Linked DNA regions of Callithrix jacchus. The main gene of each other region encodes a partner of the protein of the gene in region 2 in a complex. Links are inferred from orthologs where the notes say so. Each region holds a gene or a part of one and is shown on either strand. Other genes may lie near its edges.

Region 1 (10,240 bases), on a different chromosome or scaffold from region 2:
GAGATCAGCCTAGGCAGAGTAACCAGACCTCTGTGTTAAAATAAATAAAACTGTTAAAAAAAAAAAAAAAGTAATGAATCCAGCCAGAAGGGAACATATCATGATTTTTCCAAGTTAGTTCTTCTCAGTGGAAGCAGGACACTGAGAAAATGGGTGTTTTTGGTTGTCACTATCATGGGGCACTTTTGGCATTTAATGCATGCATTCCACAGTACAGAATTACACAACAAAGAATGAAACAAGACCCATACTGTCAGATATTCAAGTACGTTAAACATGCACAGAAACATAAAAACAATAACAACTCTGTTTAAAATTATCTGAGCCTAGAGTTTAACCCCATTTACAAGTAAAAACAAAAGTAATTTGTGTATGGTTTTAATATATACGGATTATTACTTTTTTTTTTTTGAGATGGAGTCTCACTCTGCCACCCAGGCTAGAGTACAGTGGTGCAATCTCAGCCCACTGCAACCTCTGCCTCCCAGATTCAAGCGATTCTCCTGCCTCAGCCTCCTGAGTAGCTGGAACTACAGGCACACCCCACCACACCTGGCTATTTTTTTTTTTTTTTTAAGATGGGGTTTCACCATGACGGCCAGGCTGGTCTTGAACACCTGATCTCAGGTGATCCACTCACCTCGGCCTCCCAAAGTGCTAGGATTACAGGCATGAGCCACTGTGCATAGCCTAATTTTTTTTTTTTCTTTTTAGTAGAGATGTGGTTTCACCATGTTGCCCAGGATGGTCTCAGTCTTCTGACCTCCTGATACACCTGCCTCAGCCTCCTAAAGTGCTGGGATTACAGGTGTGAGCCACCACACCCAGCCTATATAGAGAATTTTCTAGGAATAAAACTACTGTGTAAAAAAAGCAAAGGTTTTATTTCATTTTGTTTTGAACTTTACCAAGAGTTATTTACCACTTCAGGAAATCTCAATAGTAACAACACTTCCAATATTTGAGTCACTAATATATTTTTATTAGTCTTTAGAGGAGGCCATTCATGATATATATGTACATTTTATACATATGTGCATTTGCCATATATGCATTCTTAATACATATTTATGCATGATATGTATGTATATATTGAATCCTTATTTTGCAATGTCAGACATAAATAAAAAGCGTTGGGCGGGTGTGGCGGCTTATGCCTGTAATCCCAGCAGTTTGGGAGGCTGAGGTGGGTGGATCACCTGATGTCAGGACCAGCCTGGGCAACATGGTGAAACCCCATCTCTACTAAAAATACAAAATTAGTCAGGTGTGGTGGCACATGCCTGTAATCCCAGCTACACGGGAGGCTGAGGCAGAAGAATTGCTTGAACCTGGGAGGCAGGGGTTGCAGTGAGTTGAGATTGTACCACTGTACTCCATCCAGCCTGGGCAACAAAAGCAAAACTCTGCCTAAAAAAAAAAAAGTGTTGACCATATTCAGCTGAATATTATCTTTTTTTGAGACAGGGTCTCATTCTGTCACCCAGGTTGGAGGGCAGTGGCACAATCATAGCTCACTGTAATCTTGAATTTCTGAGCTCAAGTGATCCTCCTGCCTCTGTCTCACAGTAGCTGGTACTACAAGCATGCACCACTACGCCTGGCTAACTCTTCTAAATTTTTGTAGGGACAGGGTCTCACTATGTTGCTCAGGTTGGTGTTAAACTCCTAGCATCAAGCAATCCTGCTGCTTTGGCCTCCCAAAGCGCTGGGATTACAAACCTGAGCTATACCAACTGTGCCTGGCCCAGTCGAATATTATATGTCCTGTAAAATCAAACTCATTCATTATATATAGATATAAGCATCTGATGACTCAATTTTGTCATCTAATATAGACATGCCTGTGCACCTACATATTGTAATACATATTATTTTCTAATAAATTACTGTCCTATTTTTCTCCTTTATATTACAGTTAGGTCCTTAAGTAGATTATTTTATTGTTGTGCATGTAGATTACCTGTGAATTTCATGCTGAGATTGCAAAGGAGATGTTACAAAATATAGCAAGGTGAATAAAGGAAATACACTGGAATTTGGGTTGACAGGGCTTGGGTCAATGATTAAAAGGAGAGGGAAAGGAGTTGGGTACAATGTGTTGATTTCTGGCTTAGGCGACCAGGTAGATGCCACCATTCGCTGATACAGGCAATACAAAAGGAACAGTGGGTTTAAGGAGGAAAACGATGAGTTAGGTTTTGGTGATTTTTAGTTTGAAGTGGCTGTGGGATGTGGAGGCATCCAATGGACTAGGATATACACACCTCTGGGTTCAGGAGACAGTCTCAGGTTACAGGCAGACTGGGAAGCAACAACATATTAACTAATAACAAGTTAAAGGAAAGGTGAGATGGGTCAGGGAAAATTGAGAGAGGGAGGAGGTACAAGGCCAGAACTCTGGGGCACATTTAATGTTCAATACATTACTTTTTGAGACCGCGTCCCGCTGTGTTGCCGAGGTTGAAGTGCAGTGGTGCCGTCATGGCTCGCCACAGCCTAAGCATCCTGGGCTCAAGTGATCCTCCCATCTTAGCCTCCTGAGTCGCTGAGACTACAGGTGCATGCCACCATGCCCAGCTAATTTTTAAATTTTTTTTGTAGAGATGGGGGACTCACTATGTTGCCCTGTTGGGTCTCGAACTTTTCAGCTCAAGCTATCCTCCCACTTTGGCCTCCTAAAGTGCTGGAATTACAGACATGAGCTACTGTGCCCGTCCAGTGCCCAGTACATTTACAAGCTGGGCAGAGGAAGAGGCCTGCAGAGGAGCCTGAGATCAAGCACCCTTATGAGAAAAAAAAAAGTAGAGTCTGAGGTCACAGAAGCTGATAGAAGAGTATTTTTCAACAAGGGGAAAGAACCAGTCAAGACTGAGGTACGTGAGATCAGCAAGTGGAGTCATGGCTTATCTTGGCTAAAGGCATTTCTGGGAGTGGAAACCAGACTGGAAGAAGATAAGAAGTGGAACGGAGAGGGCGAGTATGAGCAACTTCTTCTGTTAAGTTGCTGCCCACAGGAGATAATGCTGGGCAGATGGAGCACACAGGGGCCGGAGGAGCTGAGGCGGAGGGATGGAGAGGCTTAAGTATGTTAACTGCGGCAGAGATGGAAGCTACAGGAGTAAATGAAAAAAATTAATTCATTCAACACTTTGTTGAGTGCCTCCCACGCACCGGATCAGTGTGGCCGCCCCAACTGAGAACAGGCGTGTGGGCCGCTCACGTCTGACAATTTAACGTAAGGCTTTACCGTTACGGGAAAGGGGTTCTCCTTCAGCTTTTCCTCCTAGGAGTTCCCATTCCGACCCTGATTCCAAAAGACACCTTGCGGGACCGCGCACACAGCTGGAACTCACGACCCCAATACAAACCTTCAGGCCACAACTAAGTAACGGATCGCTGCAAAGGCCAAACTAGAGATTCCAATGCCACCGCTGGAGCCTCCCCAGCGCTCCGCCCCCGCTCGCGAGAAAAGCGGCGAGGGCGCGAGAAATCGCCCTCTGGTTAGCTCCGCCCCTTCTCTTTCTTTGTTTTCCTGCCGAAGATCTCGCGGGAGTTAGCCGACAAATCCCGCAAGCGCAGGCCCGGGCTGGCTCTGCGGCTCTCGCGATATTTGAGCGAGACTGCTTCCTTCCTTCTTCCCTTGCCAGTCCGCCTGTCTTCCTCCCCCTCTTCCCTGCCCGGCCTCCCCTCTCCTTCCCCCGCCGGCCCCCTCCCCGCAGGGATAATATGGTCTCCGGCGATGGACGCCCCAAAAGCAGGTCAGTTTCGGGCCTCCGAGCTGGGTCTGGCAGCTGGAAACGCGCGGTGCCTAAGCGCCGTGTTCCTTGCTTTTCTTGCCTGGAGTTGCTCGGCAGGCGCCCAGGCCCTCGGGGCTCAGGTTATGCTCCCCTTGGGGCCTGCCTGCTGGGCCGCCCTTTGAGCCCAGGCCGCAGAAGGTGGGACTCCCCGCCCTCACCCTCCCGCGCGACCCCCGCAGGCCGGGCCGCCGCACCGCTGGTCTTGACCCGCACCCTTCTCTCTCCGGTGGCCGCTGCCTGCTGCCAGCGCCTTCCTGGCCCCCGTCAGCAACACCAGGGGCAGGGAGAGGCCCACCATCTTCCTCTGCCCGCCCCCCATTGGTGAGCGATGAGGGCGGGGGCCTGCGTCTCCGTGCTCGGGTCTCACGCAGCTGGATGTTGGTTCCACAGCCCAGCCTCAGGCCCCTCGGTCTCTCTGTGTCTCTGGAAGCCGAATGAGGGGCAGTTAAGGTTGAAGATTGGTCAGTCAGTTCCCCGACCATTTGTTGCAGTGCTGTAGACACCTCCCGCCGTCCACCTCCTTCTAGAAAAAAAGAAAAAAATACTGTTCATTCTAACAATGCGTTGTACTTATGTTTTCTGTTTTTGGATGAAAGCCTTAACAATGTTGAGGGTCCTACCCACCCACCGCTATGAGTCTGCACAAAAGATCTGAAGGTTCTTTTCAACGTCAAGGCTGCCTCCCCGCCACTGCCCCCTAGAATGTTGGGAGCTGAGGCACATTCAAATGAGACCCCTGCATCTTTGACTTTGTAGTTCAGCTTCAATTCGTGCAAAACCAGAAGGACTTCTATCTTTCGGGGAGAATATGCTAATTTCCTAGATATTTTGTTACTTTAATTTTCTGTACTAAATCCTTGTAAGGACTTAACTGAGAAGTTTTTTGTTTTTGTTTATTGAATGCTTCGTAAAAAATCCATCTTTTGGTTTTTTTAATTAGTCCCTCTAATGCTAATTTTGGAGTTCCCAAATTCCTGTCTCTGCAGTTTTCAAGACATATCTTTTCCAAAACGTCCCCGTAGATTATTTAAATCATTTTTAGTGTCTCCTTCCAGGTATTGTGTGTTAAAACATTTCTGGAGTGAATTATCTTACTAGTTTTTATTCGACACATTATGGTTTAGAGATATGCTGTCCAGTGTGGTGGATACTAGCCCTGTGTTACTGTAATAAAAATTAAATAAATGGAAAACTCAGTTCCTCAGGCACCATAGCCACCTTTCCAGGTGCTCAATAGCCACACGTCGCTAATGGCTACTTTACTGGACAGGTCAAACATAGAACATTTGTACCATTGCAGAAAATTCTATTAGACAAAGCTAGTTTCCAAGTATTTTCATTCCAGGTATTGTTGCTGTGTTTAATTAAAATGTTTTTTTTTTCAGGATATGCCTTTGAGTACCTTATTGAAACATTAAATGACAGTTCACATAAGAAGTTCTTCAATGTATCTAAACTTGGAGGCACCAAGTATGGTAATGTTGCTTTACATTTTCTTGAATTTGTTTAGTCTCTAATAATTAAAATGCATTTGTCAAACTGAGCTGAAGAAATTTTAAATTTATTTCTACCGTGTTGTAACCGGTACACCTCCACATACTTACACCATTTTAAGAACTCCTCTTGGGAAAACTTTTGTTCAGGGAAGATGTACCTTAACTTCTTATTTTAAAATCGAGTTAATTAAGCACTAATTTTTTTTCCTCAAAGAAACCAGTAATGCAGTTTTTAAATTTTTTTTTTCTTATTTTTGTGGAGACTGGGGTCTTGCTATGTTACCCAGGCTAGTTTCCAACCCCTGGGCTCATATTATCCTCCTGCCTCTGCCTCCCTTAGTGTTGGGATTATACATGTAAGCTACCGTACCTGGCCTAATGTGATTTTTAGAAGAACCTGACTGACTGATGATATGCTACACCAATTAAATGTATATTTTGCTTTCTCTTTTCTTTCTTTCTTTCTTTTCTTTTCTTTCTTTTTTTTTTTTAAAGACAAAGTCTTGCTCTGTTGCCCACGCTGGAGTGCAGTGTCATGATCATAGCTCATGCAGCCTTGAACTCCTGGGCTAAAGCAATCCTTGTCTCAGCCTCCCAAGTAACTAGGCCTACAGGTGCATGCCAACACACTTGGCTAATTTTTATATTTTTTGTAAAGATGGGTTCTTGCTGTGTTGCCCAGGTCTCAAAACTCCTGACCTCAAGCGATCCTTCTGCTTCAACCTCTCAAAGTGTTGGGATTATAGGCATGAGCCACTGTGCCTGGCTTATTTTACTTTCTCAAATGAACAGTGCCCACATCTGTTCTTTTTGCCATCTGTTGAATAGGAATCACCAACAGGACCCACTGACTGAGTTGTTCTGCAGTGTTGGGCATTGTTTGCTCCAACCTGCACACCTACAGTTTTGGCAGACACTCTCATTCATCTGATCAGGGTCAAACCTTTCCCTGTGGTCTCAGAAGAGAATGTGGCTGACCTACAGGGCATTGGATGGAAGTTTTGACTTTACTGACAGTTGAGTAACTTTCTCAATTAGGCCAATAGTTTAGAAGACTGATTATTGTTAGTGAACTTTTCTGTGACAATGACATGAAAAGATAAATTGAATGCCATATCTATTATAGTCAGTTTTGGAAGGAGCTTTAACCTTGTTTATTCTTGCATTATTTACTTAAGATTGTTCTTGTGATTTTTCTGTAGATTTTGAGGAATTTAAATACTCTTGACTGCTGTGTGTGATATTTTTTGTGTATTGTGAAATACAGATTTTTTGGAGTATCTTAGAGAATCCCCATTTTGGAATTAGGTTGTCATTAAGAAATAATTTGCCAAAATGAGAGCAATATCCTTTACCTTCCATGTTTAGCTGCAGTGATTTGTAGTGATATGTTTGTTAAAAGAGGTTGGTCATTTTCTTAATGATGTGTGTCTTTCACATTAATTTTATCCCTTCACTGATGATGAGTTTGCATTAATTTTGAAAACAGCTAGATTGATTGTTTACAAGAATAGTCTTTTTATTTCCCTTTTACTTCTCCAAAATAATCTAGTGATCCTGGCTTGTAAGTTTTTCAACTCAAATTCCATAACTTAATAAATTAAAGGAGCACATACTGTGTTTTGAAGATTGAGTGTAAATACTTTGTGTATAATCTGTAGAAATGTGCTTACTTGAAGATGATATATATTTTTCAAATTTAGGGAATCAAAAACAACCGTAAAATGCTTTGAAAGGGAATGATTGATATAATATGGAAGTTAAATTTTCGCTGAGAAATAAGCTGTCATGGGCATTTGTGCATAACCTTACAGAGTACGTCTGTACTTAACATTATTCCAGAATTACCAGTTTTTATAACCATGATAAATGTAATAGAATACCTGTGAATATAAATAATTTCAAAACAGAAAGTTGGTTTTTATTTATGTGTGGTCAGTACCCTGGTTTTATTTTATTGTATTCTAGTTTTACTTTTGAGACAGGATCTAGCTCTATCACCCAGGCTGGAGTACAGTGGTGTGATCTCGGCTTACTACAACCTCCGCCTCCTCTGTTCAAGCGATTCTCCTGCCTCAGCCTCCCGAGTAGCTGGGACTACAGGTGTGCATCACCCGCCCAGCTAATTGTAGAGAAGAGGTTCTACCACGTTGGCCAGGCTGGTCTCAAACTCCTGACCTCAAGTGATCCCACCCACCTCAGCCTCCCAAAGTGCTGGGATTATAGGAGTGAGCCACTGCGCCTGGACCCTCTTGGTTTTTTAATAGAGTGATTATTATGAGAGGTAATTAAGTAATCATTCCTTAAGTAATTTCCTAGTAATTAAGAAGGAATAAAATTTGAAGAATTGACTTTGAAAGAAAGAAACAACTTAGGTAGAAAGTATTTTGCTTGTTTAGCCTTAGAACAAAAAATACGCATTTTTGAAGGGATCAGATTGAATTGCTTCCTAGAGATATGCTTACAAGAAGACATTGCTTTGGTAGTCAACAAGGTTCAGAGCCAGTCTTCTCTGCCTTCATTTCGAATTTTGTTACCTGCCACATTGAGAGTGACTGCTCTAACAAGTAACAATTAGTGAAGAAAATGGCCTCTATCCCTCATAAATTTTGCAGAGTAAAGATAATTAAGAAGCATTGTTCTAAGCTCCATGCTAACTGTATCAGGGATCCCTCAGCTGCAAGGAGCTGAAAACCTGCTGTCCAATGACTTTAAGAAATAGGAGTTTCTTTTTCTTTCTTTTTTTTGAGATGGAGTTTCGCTCTTGTTACCCAGACTGGAGTGCAATGGTGCGATCTCGGCTCAACTCAACCTCTGCCTCCTGAGTTCAGGCAATTCTTCTGCCTCAGCCTCCTGAGTAGCTGGGATTACAGGCACGCGCCACCATGCCCAGCTAATTTTTTGTATTTTTAGTAGAGACGGGTTTCACCATGTTGACCAGGATGGTCTCGTTCTCTTGACCTCGTGATCCACCCGCCTCAGCCTCCCAAAGTGCTGGGATTACAGGCTTGAGCCACCGTGCCTGGCAGGAGTTTATTTTTCTTACATAACAAGATCAACAGACTGGGGCTGTGCAGCACCAGTTTCAGCAAGGATTAAGGCTTGTCCTGTCTTACCATTTTGTTTTTATTCTTTTGGTTGCATCTCCAGGCATTATGTCCATGTTCCAAGCAGCTGGAGGGGCAAAACAAAAGGAAAGGCCCTCTCCAGGGGCTTTTGCCTCTTTGGCCAGAGTATCAGTGGCCACTCTTACCTTCAGGAAGGCTGAAAGGTAGAGTAATCATGATCTTCTCTTATCCACGGGAGATACATTCCAAGACCCCCAGTAGACACCTGAAACTATGGATAGTACCAAACTGTGTATATACTCGTTGGTGTATATGTATTTTCCTATACATACATACCTATGATCAAACTTAATTTATAAATTAGGCACAGTAGAGATTAACAGTAGCTAATAATAAAATAGAACAGTTATAATAGCATACTGTAATAAAGGTTATGTGAATGTGGTCTTTTTCTCTCTCTAAATACCTTACGGTGCTGTACTGCAGGTAACTGAAACCACAGAAAGCCAAACCATAGATGAGATGAGAGTACTGTGTTTTATCTCTACAGCTGTAACAACAGAGAAAGGAAAGGGAGAAGTGGTTGGAAGTGGGTGGTGAGTGAACCGGCCTAGACTGTCTGCCTTACCAACCTGATGTCCTCTCTCTTTTTTTATTTTTATTTTTATTTTTTTCGAGACGGAGTTTCGCTCTTGTTACCCAGGCTGGAGTGCAATGGCGTGATCTCGGCTCACCGCAACCTCTGTCCTCTGGGTTCAGGCAATTCTCCTGCCTCAGCCGCCTGAGTAGCTGGGATAACACAGATTATTTGATTTCTGCTTTTTTACTGCCATTTTATCCTTTTGCTTCCCAAATTTAGACTGAAGGTATCTCTGTGGGGGTGGGCACATCTTAGACATTGATTACGTTTTGATCTTGCATGATTCTGCTTGAGGGAATCTCTTGTCTTTTTGTTTGTTTTTGAGACAGAATCTCACTGTGTCACCTAAGCTGGAGTACAGTGGCATGATCTTGGCTCACTGCCACCTCTGTCTCCAGGGTTCAAACAATTCTCATGCCTCAGCCTCCCAAGTAGCTGGGACTTACAGGTGTGCACCACCATGTCCAGCTAATTTTTTATCTTTAGTAGAGGTGGAGTTTCACTATATTGACCAGGCTGGTCTCAAACTCCTAACCTCAAGTAGTCCTCCTGTCTTGGCCCCCCAAAGTGCTGGGATTACAGGTATGAACTACTGTACCCAGCCAGTTGTGGGGAATGTCTTTAATATTCTGGAGCTGCCTGTCTGGTGCTCTAGTTTGTTGAGTAGAAACATCATGTAGTCAAAATCTAGGTAGTCTCAAATGTAGATATTGAGTAACTCCTTAAAAAAAATTATAAAGATGGGGGCCTCACTGTCACCCTGGTTGGAATGCTGTGACATGATGATAGCTCACTGCAGCCTCAAACTCCTGAGGTCAGGAGATCCTCCTGCCTTACCCTCCCAAGTAGCTGATTTGGGTGACTCTTAAGTAGATCTCTGAATTCAAAACTATGGCTGTTTTTACAGAGAGGAGAAATCAGTGTTGTCAAGAGTAGTGAGAGGCTGCTTTTTGAAGGAGTTGAGACTTGAATTGCTATTAAACAGAGGATATGTGTGATGGAGGACAGTCAACACCAGAGAATCAGAATGAACAGCATAATGGAAACATGAATGACTATGTTGAATGAAGGGGAAGATAGTGGAGAGACTGGTCTGGCTGGAGTGAAAGGTTTATTTTAGAGAGTACCTATTATTGGCAACAGGGCCTCTGGTGGTGTAAAGCCCCCAGACTCCCTTCTTTATCTCAAGTTATCTCATTCACCCTTTCTTTTTTTCTTCCTGTCTGCTGGCTTTTT
Region 2 (10,140 bases):
CAAAAATTACTTTGTGAGCCCTATTCATGATACTAAAATTTTATTCCCAAGACATTCTTTTGTTTCTGTGGCATTCGCTATCTAAATGTATACTATTTATTGTAAAATTTTCAATTTTTTGTAACTTTCTTTTTTATTGACCTATAACAGTTATACATATTTTGGGGGGTACATGTGATACTTTAGTACCTGTATACATTGTATGATGATCAAATCATGGTAATTGAAACTGTGAAATATTTTTTAAGAAATGAAAAATTTCTATGAAAAACAATAACTTATTTGCAGGACAAGTAAAGACAAAACAGCGAAACTGAAAAAAGCACTGAAGTAAATGGCAGTTTAGTCTTTAATAATCAACAGGTACATTATCTGAAAAGGCTTAACTTTTCCTTTTCAATATGAAGGAAATCGACAAACTTTGCTTTGACTGTCTTCAAGGATTAAGACAAATACACTGACATTGTTAGAACCTTCAAAATTCTTATCCTGGGTATCATGAATTAATTTTTTAGAATGAATAAGCGAAGACTTTAAATTGCCATCTAAGCAAGTATCTCATCTCCTTCAGGTCTTTGATCAAATTTCTCAACGGACCTTAACTAGTCAGTCAATTTAAAACTACGATTTTTAAATCTTCTTGGCATGTTTTCCTTGTTTTATTTTTCTCCACAACACATGTCACCATCTAATACGGATTATATTTTACCTGCATTTATTGTCTGCCTCCCCTCTCTAAATTTTAAGCTTAACAAGGGCCAGGTTTTTGTTTTGTTTTGTTTTTTTCCATTTTATTTACCATTATATACTTCATACTTAAAACAATACCTGCCACAGGTAAGCACATCACCAAATCTATCATAACTAGAATAGACCTTTCCCTTATATGGAACCTTTTGAATCTTTATTTCAAAATGCGGCACATCTACGTTTCATAAAAATAAACTGTTAGCTGCTGAAATAACAATCTTTATACTTATACTGCTTACTTTCCATGTTTCTTCTTTTTTCCACATTTAGTTCTTTCACCAGACCAAATTACTTTAAGTGGTAGTTTTATAAATAAAATTTCCTAGAGTTTCAGTTTTACCAACTAGAAGAATATCTCCTCTGTACATTTTTTACTGTTTTACCATCTTTCAGTAATTGTTATCTAGAATAATATCCAAGACAGAATGTCTTCCTCCTCATACTTCCAAATAGTATCTCTCTGAACAAGTATGACAGCATTTTTCCATCATGTACCTTAAATTAAAAATTACATTTTCTAAATTTTCTCCCATCTGGGAGTTTTTTGGAGTACCAATAAAGTCTTATCCACCCTTGAACTCTCCCATAGTGCTTAATGAATGGCTACATTAGTTTCTGTAATCCCTTACCATTTACAAAGAATCTTCATGTATATTACTTCTTAATTCTACAACAACTTTCTTAGGCAAGTATTAAAGACTATTTACAAATGAGTAAGTCGACTCAACAGTTTCATCCAATTTCCCTCAAGACAGATGACTCAACAGATGCTGTGCAACTGATCACTTAAAGTGTCCCTAAAAACATACTGTAAACTATAAAGCACTATAATAAACGTACATTATTTCCGTAAGAAAAAAGGCATCATTTTCTGATTTTTTAATATAAAAACAAAAGAGAAACAATCCTACGCACTCTTTAAAGTACTTCAATTTTAAATTTTCTTATTCCTCCAAATTTTAAAAAGGCTTAGAAACACTACTTTCTTGAGAAAACACAAAATACATAAATCTTAATACCTAACTGTAAATACTTAGTTAACATACCAATTATTAAAATACCATGTAATAATTTTAATTCCAAACAAGCTTACCAGATTCATCTATGTCAGCATCTTCATCCCAGTCATGAAAAGCACGACTTTCATCTTTCCTATTTTTCACCCATTCTTCATCAGGTTCAGTATCAAGTTCAGTTGCAGGACCACTATACCAGTCACCTATTTGATGAATAAACAAGAGGATCAAAATAATATTAGATTGCCTGCAATTACAAAAAAACTAAGCGGTATCTTTGAGGTATGCCTGGATCATCAGGGATAGTTCTTAGACTATGTTCTATCTACTATGTAACATGTATACTTTAAAACTATTTAAGATAGAACGGATTTTATAAGTCATTTCATTATAATGGGTCTTAACATCCGCTTTAATGTCAGTAACAGCACAGCAGAAACATTTATGGATGTGGTACTATGTAAAGTGTTTTGCAAGCCTTTTTTTTATAATTGTCATAATTTTTAGAAGAGTAGAGAAACTGGAGCTTAGAAAAGTTGAATAAATTTCCCCAGGTCACAGAATTGCTCAGGATGGTGCCCCATTTTGATCTAATCCTATAATTTTAAAATCATACTATAAAAATATTTTCACTTTGAAAAATCTTCTTAATCATGTAGGCTTTTTTTTTTTTGATAATTGGGAAATAAAGAAATACATAAATAAGAAATTTTGCCAGTAATTCTACCACCTCAGATTATAATACAATTCCTTCTAATATTTTTTCTAAGCAAAACTTTATTTTGTAAAAAGCAAAATAGTATGACATTGTAGTCTTTCATTTCAATTAATGTTATGACTATTTGCTGTAGTACTATTTTCTCTCATAATTACTATTTTCTCTTGTAAAGGTTCTAATAAACAAGCAGTGTGTTCTTAAAAAAAAAAAAAAAAAAAAAAGTTGGAGGACCACTATACCAGTCACCTATTCGACGAATAAACAAGAGGATCAAAATAATATTAGATTGCCTTCAATTACATAAAAACTACGCTATTTACAATAAAAATCTCTAAAAGAGAAAATATCTGAGTCCTAGGCAATGGGCAAGCTATTTTTAGAAATATTTAATTATGGTTAAAAAAATTACACTGAAATAAGAAAAAGATTTCATTTCAGACAAACTGAAAAGAACTATGACTAGGTGGGTTCAACTAACAATAATAATCAATTAACCAATAGTTCATAATTTCTTAAAGTAAATCTCTTTCAAACTGTGGAAACAGAACAGTAACTACAAAAATTTATATAGTCTACTGCTATGAATCTACTCTCTGTACAAAAAGTTTTTCAATTTTTTTGTCTTTTATAGAAATACACTTAATGTTTATCAAGTCTTGAATAAAATTTTAGAAATCACAATAAGCAAACATTGTCCCTTGCTGTGGTTTCACACTGGTTCCTACAGTAGCCCCATTATGATAACAGCCAATAAATAAAAGGAAGCAGGTCTACTCTGCAGTCTATCAGTCAGCCATTCAGAAGTAGATGGAAACAGAAGCAAAGGGAAAGATTAATGTAAAGCCAATGTAAATTTATAGATCCTGGAGAATGTACTGTAACTAAATTATATGATCATGAAGTGAGAGATTATGAGGAATCAATTCACTAATCTCATTTTTTTGGAGACAGAGTGTCACTCTAGCGCCCAGGCTGAAGTGCAGGGTAGCATTCTGGGCTCACTGCAACCTCTGTCTCCCAAACTCAAGCCTCCCAAGTAGCTGGGATACCAGGTATGCACAGCCACGCTGACTATGTTGCCCATGGTGGTCTCAAACTCCTGAGCTCAGGCAATCTCCTGCCTTGGCCTCCCAAAGTGCTAGGAGATTATAGCTGTGAGCCACTGTGCCCAGCCAATTTACTCAACTCTTAACATTTCATTTAAATTAGGGTTTCTCAACCTTGACGCTATTGACATTTTGGGATGAATAATTATTTGTTGTTGGGAGCTGTCCCGTGGATAATAGGGTGCTTAGCAACAACCCTGGCCTATACCCATTAGATGCCAGTATGATACCCAAAGATGGGACAAACAAAAATGTCTCCAGATGTTTCAAATGTCCCCTGAAGGGGGGAAATCAAATTGAGAACCACTCAAAGCAAATAATATAAATAAATAAAAAACGATTTCTATTTTTTTTTTTAAAGACAGAGTCTCCCTCTGTCACCCAGATTGGAGTGCAGTGATGTGATCATGGCCCACTGCAGCCTCGACTTCCCATGCTCAAATGATCCTCCTACCCGAGCCTCCCAAGTAACTGGGACTACGGGCATGTGCCACCATGCCTGGTAATTTTTTTTTTATTTTTGTTTGTTTTGGTTTTTTTTTTGTGATTCACTGATTGATTTTCAGACTGAGTCTTGCTCTGTCGCCCAGGCTGGAGTGCAATAGCACGTCTCGGCTCACTGCAACCACCAACTCCCAAGTTCAAGCAATTCTCCCTGCCTCAGCCTCCCGAGTAGCTGGGATTACAGGTGCCTATCACCCCACTGGGATAATTCTTATAGTTTTAGTAGACATAAGGTTTCACAATGTTGGCCAGGCTTGTCTTGAACTCCTGACCTAAGGTGATCCACCCACCTTAGCCCCCCAAATTGCTGGGATTACAGGTGTGAGCCACTGCGCCTGACCATTTATTCTTTTAGTAGAGATGAGGTCTCTGTATGTTGCCCAGAGTGATTGGAACTTTTTGTTTAAAAATATTAAAAACAGAAAAAAACAGTATATTTGAGATTTCGGTGAATTTATGAAAGTTAGCACAGCATTATCACAACTGACACTCATATCAAATCTTAAAAATTAAAAAGTCAGAAAATATTGTATGCATCCATGTTTGTCTTGACTTTTCAATAAATATTTCATTATCCTACAACTAATAGAAAAAATTTTTCCACATAACAACTGTAATCATTTAGATGATATAAATCTACCTGATACTCCAAATAGCTTTACTCAAAAAAACTAAATATCTAACAGCTTATTTCTAAAGTGCTATGTGTTATTGTAATGAATAAAATTGCTTTTAAATCACATTCACAATTTAAATCAGACAAAGTCATAAACAGAAAAAAAAAATTATGTGAATTTGGAATCTAATATTCACCTAGGCTGGATGCAGTGGCTCACATCTGCAATCCCAGCACTTTGGGAAGCCAAGATACGTGGATCACTTGAGGTCAGGAGTTCAAGACCATCCTGATCAACATGGTGAAAACCCACCTCTACTAAAGATACAAATTAGCCAGGCGTGGTGGCGCATACTTGTAATACCAGCTACTTGGAAGGCTGAGACAGGAGAATCACTTGAACCCAGGAGGCAGAGGTTGCAATGAACCAAGATCATGCCATTGCACTCCAGACGGGACAACATGAGCAAAACTCCATCTCAAAAAAATAAAACAAAATGAACAAAAAAAAACCCCCAAAAGCTCACGTGGAAGAAATTGTTTTAATTCAGTGACAGAAAAAATGTATGCTCTATTAGCTGTATTTAACCCATAACTGCATTACATGTTGAGGAAAATAATATTTTCTTTAATTCTTCACAAGTAAAAGTAATTTACTATAATGCTATTAATATGAAACTGTGATTCAGGGAATGTGGCATTACCAATCAAAGATAGGTCAAAGACAAAAACGGATTCACAATTATTTTAAGCCATCACCAAAATGGAGCCATAATGGTATATCACCCTTACATTTTAAAAAATTTATTCCATATTTAAAAAATACTCATGTTATTAAATATATTTAAAGGAGTTTTGAAAGCTTAATTTTATTTTTAACTTCTAATTCTGTAAGATAGTCAAAAGCAGAAAGAACTAGCATAATGAATCCCCTATCTTCAATAATTACCAACATTTTGTCAATCTTTTTGCATCCTTCCCCAACTATATTTTCTTATTATTTTTTTAATTGCAGACATCATTATAATTTACCCATGAACTTCAGCACTGCTAGTTTTCCAAAAATATATACCAAAAATACATCCTCTAACTGTAAAATCTACTTTTTGGTCAACCTCTCAAAGCTTCCCTCCCTGGCCTTGTTCATTAACGTCAATGAATATGTATCTAGAAAACACATGAAAATATTTTTTAAACCCATTTACCTACCTCTGGCCCAATGAACAGGGTAAAGATGTTTCCAAAGCGACCCAGTTTTTGCCAGCTGAGACCATTTCGTGCTTACTTGACTGCATCGACATAACTCTTGAGGATTAAGATAACTGAAAATTGACAGCATTACCTCAGGAGGAAGATGGGTTATACCTGTGGAGTGTTCTGACACTTCTGCTTCTGAAATAAAAAAGAAAAGCTTTAGCAGTAAAGGCTAAGAGCAAATGCAATAAGAAATTACAATCACATTTCTATAAACAAAATCCAGTGCCTGAAGTCAATTCCTTCCTGCTTGCAAGATGCGAAAACGAAATAACATGTAACAGAGGTAACATGGGGATGTTAAACTTGTTAAGAACCAGTAGGGTTAAACTATCATGGCCCAAATCACACTTCATCAGTGGAAGTTACAATAATGAACACAGAATTAACTTCCTCTTACAAAGGCATCACAGAAAAAAACAACACTCACTTTATAGCATTAAGTAGCATCATTTGAAAAAGGAACCAAACAGGTTACACAGCTTTAAATCAACAAGTATAGAGTACGCCAGATTATGAGATCTCCAAGGCATTTTTAATGACACATACAAATGTCACTACCTTTTCCATTCATGCATGATGACTCCTGTCAATAATTTTCCTCGTATTCCCTCTTTGATTTTCACATTTCATACCAGAGGTCTGCAAAATCTGACTGCCTTAACATATAGGCACTTTAAACCACTTCAATTATTTATGTCGCAGGTGAGATGACAAAATGTAAATATTTCTGATGCTGTTTCACACTAATAAGAAATATACTCTCAGCAACTATTGCAGGAAGTACTTATTGGATGTATAAACCTATAATGTATTATTTTAATAACAATTTCCAAAATAAAAATGAAAATGAGGTGTTACAATAAAAAAAAAAAGATTTGTCGTTAAAGTCCTATGAAGAATTTGAGTACTTTATATACCTGATTTGTCTTCACAAAGCAACTTAAATATAGAAATGCTATGATCACATTCATTAAACTACTAGTTTTAAAATGGCAAATATTTTAAACATAATACAGCTACAATTTGCTTTGAAGGAGTGGGAAAATAAAATGTGGTAAGTGTGATACTTTTAAATCTCATGTTATAATTACAATTAAACCAGACATAACAAGTCTTAACTTGGTATCTAAAGCACAAGCTACGTTTCAGAGTAAAGCATACAAGCTTTATGGGATTAATTATAGCTTAAAACTTGTAAAATAACTTTGGTTTCAACATACACTTCACCTACTTTTATTTTTATTTTTGGAGGGGGCCAGGATCATGCACTGGCGGCTGAGGGATCCCCCGACCCTCTACCTACTTTGTTAAATAAAAATAAAAGGATCACTTTCAAAAAACTCCAAGTTATTTTAACAGAAATGCCATTGCTACCAACAATCTTGAAGAAGCAAAGCTACTGAACATAAATAATAAAAAATGAGAAAGTAGTTTATTTTTTTTTAAAAGGGCAGCATGTTTTATTCGCATTTCTCATTTGTATTCTCAGAGTAACTATACAGAAAAACTTTGCCTCTGGTACTTATTCCTCTGACTATTAATACATACAAGCTGAAAAAAAATGATACATTTTTTGCCAGCTGATGGAAAGGATGAAAATAAACTATAAACATAACTGACTGAAAACCAATGAAAAACACAAGGAAAGATAAAAATCAGCCACTATGGTCAACAGAGCTCAGGAAGTGGGATGATACTGCAAAAGTGTTCTGTGTAACAGTAGTTTTCAACAATTCTGACTGATCAATTTTTAGCAGGCCAGTGCTCTGTATTGGTAGTTTTCAATAATTTTGACTATGCATTTATAAATTCATTGAAGAAACACTACACAGCATATGTCCCAAATATATGTTAAATTATCATACACAACACTAAATTCTAAAATAAGAACTATCGTCTTCAATTAAATTCATACATGAAAATAACGGCTTTAACTGATCACAGTGCAGGTCTAACTTAAATTGTTTCTCAACCAAAATCTACAGTTCATATCAGTAAGATGTCAATGGCCTTATAACTAATAAATTGTTCTTTATCTATGTATAGAAATCTCACCTTTATCTGACTTTTCATCCACAGAATATTTAAAAAATTTTTGTCGCTCTTCAGCATGATTCCATAGGCTAAGACCTCTAAGGAGTTCTGCAGTATCCTTCTGAGAGCAGTGTTGTGCAATCACTTTCTTTTTAATATCCTTAAGCTCTTCGTAGGTAAAATATTCCATTAACATGGGCTGAAAAACCTAAATTAAACAAAATATTCACAAGGAATGATACTTAATTCGTGTTATTTCACTCTACAGCTTTTTAAGTTATTAATGGCTTGCATGTCTTATTATGACCATATATCTGAAGCAGATAAAAATTTTATCTGTTACCACTGAGTTAGTTTATCTAAAAATTGCAGAGAAGAGTACCTCAAGAAGATCCTTCTTGTTATGTTTCTCTAGCTAGCAAATCAATCCCAAAACAATTTTAAAGCATGAGGACCAGAAGGTTTGCCGATACAGAATTTGTCAAACACTCTTAATCATTCTCTGTAAATGTTTAGGTCAGTTAACTGCCTTCTGGTACTAGAGTAACTGAACTCTACAGAAATAGTCCCTCTGCCTCACATGAGAGTGGTACCCAGTCAGTATACTGCAACCATAAAAGTCAGAACTCTGCTGAGACATGTAACTTTTCAATATTATTTCTGGATTTTGGAACTGTTCCCTCAAATCATTATTTTAGAAAAGTGGTTCCTACAATAATTATCTATGAAGATTTCTTTTGCTAAACAGATGCTTAGTTCCAAACTTCAATTTACAGAATTAGAATCTTTAGAGGTTAGAACCAAAACTTTGTTTTGTTTTCACTTCCACAGATAATTTTGATGAGTATCATAGGTTAAGAAACACTGGTTGCTCTAGTAATTCAGGTTTCAACACTGGCTGTATATTACAGTGAGTTGGAGGGCCCTGAAAAAATACCCAGGTCAATGCCTGTTCTCTGATTTAACTCTGATATAATATACCAGAAAGTGCTTAAAATACTGTTGGGGTTTCTTTTGTTTGTTTAAATACCAATTTGATTTTAAGGTAAAGCTATAGTTGAGAATCACTACAGTAATTGATTTACAGCTGAACAGGTATTCAGTTCCTCATAAAATCATTTATCTATTTCTTATCCTAATATTCATCCCATATTAGAGACAGAGGAAAAAGGGAAAACGTTTTACCAATTCATACAATGATACCCTAATATATGTATAGTAGGCTTAAGACTAATAATTGTTCTTGTTTGTTTGAAGACACAGTCCTTACTCTGTCACTCAAACTGAAGCACCATGGCACAATCATGGCTCACTGCAGTCTCAGCCTCTTGGGTTCAAGCAATTCTTGCACCTCAAGCTCCCAAGTAGTCAGGATGACAGGCATATGCCACAATGCCCAGCTGATTGTTTTAATTTTTAACAAAGAGGAGGTCTCACTATTTTGCCCACGCTGGTCTTGAACTCATGGACTCAAACAATCCTCCTGCCTCAGCTTCCCAAAGTGCTGGGATTACAGATGTGAGCCACCACGCCCAGCCAAGACTAATAAATTTAAAACCACCATTTAAATACTAAAGTACACTAGTGGAAAAAAAAAACATGAAAAATTATTTAAACACAGCATGAAAATATTTTAAAAATTAAAAGCTTAAAGAATCCTCTAAAGGTTCTGAAAAGACATTAGGGTAGCAGAAGTTATTAACATCGAAGACAGTGCCATTTACAAAAAAGGAAATCATTATTTCCTGAGTAAATTAATTAAATCACCTATTTAATGAAAAGTAACAACCTTTCTGAGAAAACAAATGTTTTTTCCCCCTTGGGTTTTCTTCAGTTCCCAAAAAGAACTGGATGCTTCTCTCTATCAGCCAGACACATCTTCCTATGCATTATTTTGAAGAGCCTCTAAAGTAAAACAGTATTTTTAACATGTTATAAATCTAAATCACAAGAGGGAAAAATTATGCTTACCTCCTCTTCCTCTTTCATATGAGGAAGAAAATCTCTTGTAAAAGCCTCCAATCTCTCTTTCAGTTGTTTTGCATAATTTAACTGTTCATATTCATTCTGGAAACAAAATAAAGTACATTTTTATAAAAGTTTTCCTTCATTATATTATATCTGACCCCAGGAAGGTAG

The links. Proteins that work in one complex are often made in the same cells at the same time.
Region 1: the proteins of FBXL5 (region 2) and IREB2 are in contact, whole or in part, in a cryo-EM structure (PDB 6VCD), measured with the Homo sapiens proteins. The link is inferred for Callithrix jacchus from reciprocal best matches to the Homo sapiens genes FBXL5 and IREB2. Residues at the interface, in NP_036293.1 of Homo sapiens: Asp656, Glu657, Tyr661, Cys662, Asp663, Asn664, Ile665, His669, Ala670, Asp671, Thr672, Ala673, Ser674, Gly675, Cys676, Gln677, Asn678, Leu679, Gln680, Cys687, Arg688, Ser689, Gly690, Glu691; in NP_004127.2 of Homo sapiens: Asp89, Phe90, Ser129, Asn217, Val220, Glu221, Arg224, Arg228, Ala758, Gly759, Ser760, Arg763, Asn764, Thr777, Pro778, Arg779, Asn782, Ser783, Tyr784, Gly785, Ala786, Arg788.

The regions. Positions count from the first base shown.
Region 1 is NC_133509.1:25,801,840-25,812,079, forward strand, and holds the start of IREB2 (iron-responsive element-binding protein 2), read left to right. Parts: upstream 1-3,619; 5' UTR 3,620-3,742; coding exon 3,743-3,761; intron 3,762-5,185; coding exon 5,186-5,275; intron 5,276-7,264; exon of another isoform or gene 7,265-7,573; coding exon of another isoform or gene 7,574-7,580; intron 7,581-10,240. UniProt on the Homo sapiens protein: RNA-binding protein that binds to iron-responsive elements (IRES), which are stem-loop structures found in the 5'-UTR of ferritin, and delta aminolevulinic acid synthase mRNAs, and in the 3'-UTR of transferrin receptor mRNA.
Region 2 is NC_133504.1:178,245,588-178,255,727, reverse strand, and holds part of FBXL5 (F-box/LRR-repeat protein 5), read right to left. Parts: intron 10,069-10,140; coding exon 9,973-10,068; intron 8,210-9,972; coding exon 8,023-8,209; intron 6,103-8,022; coding exon 5,920-6,102; intron 1,970-5,919; coding exon 1,844-1,969; intron 1-1,843.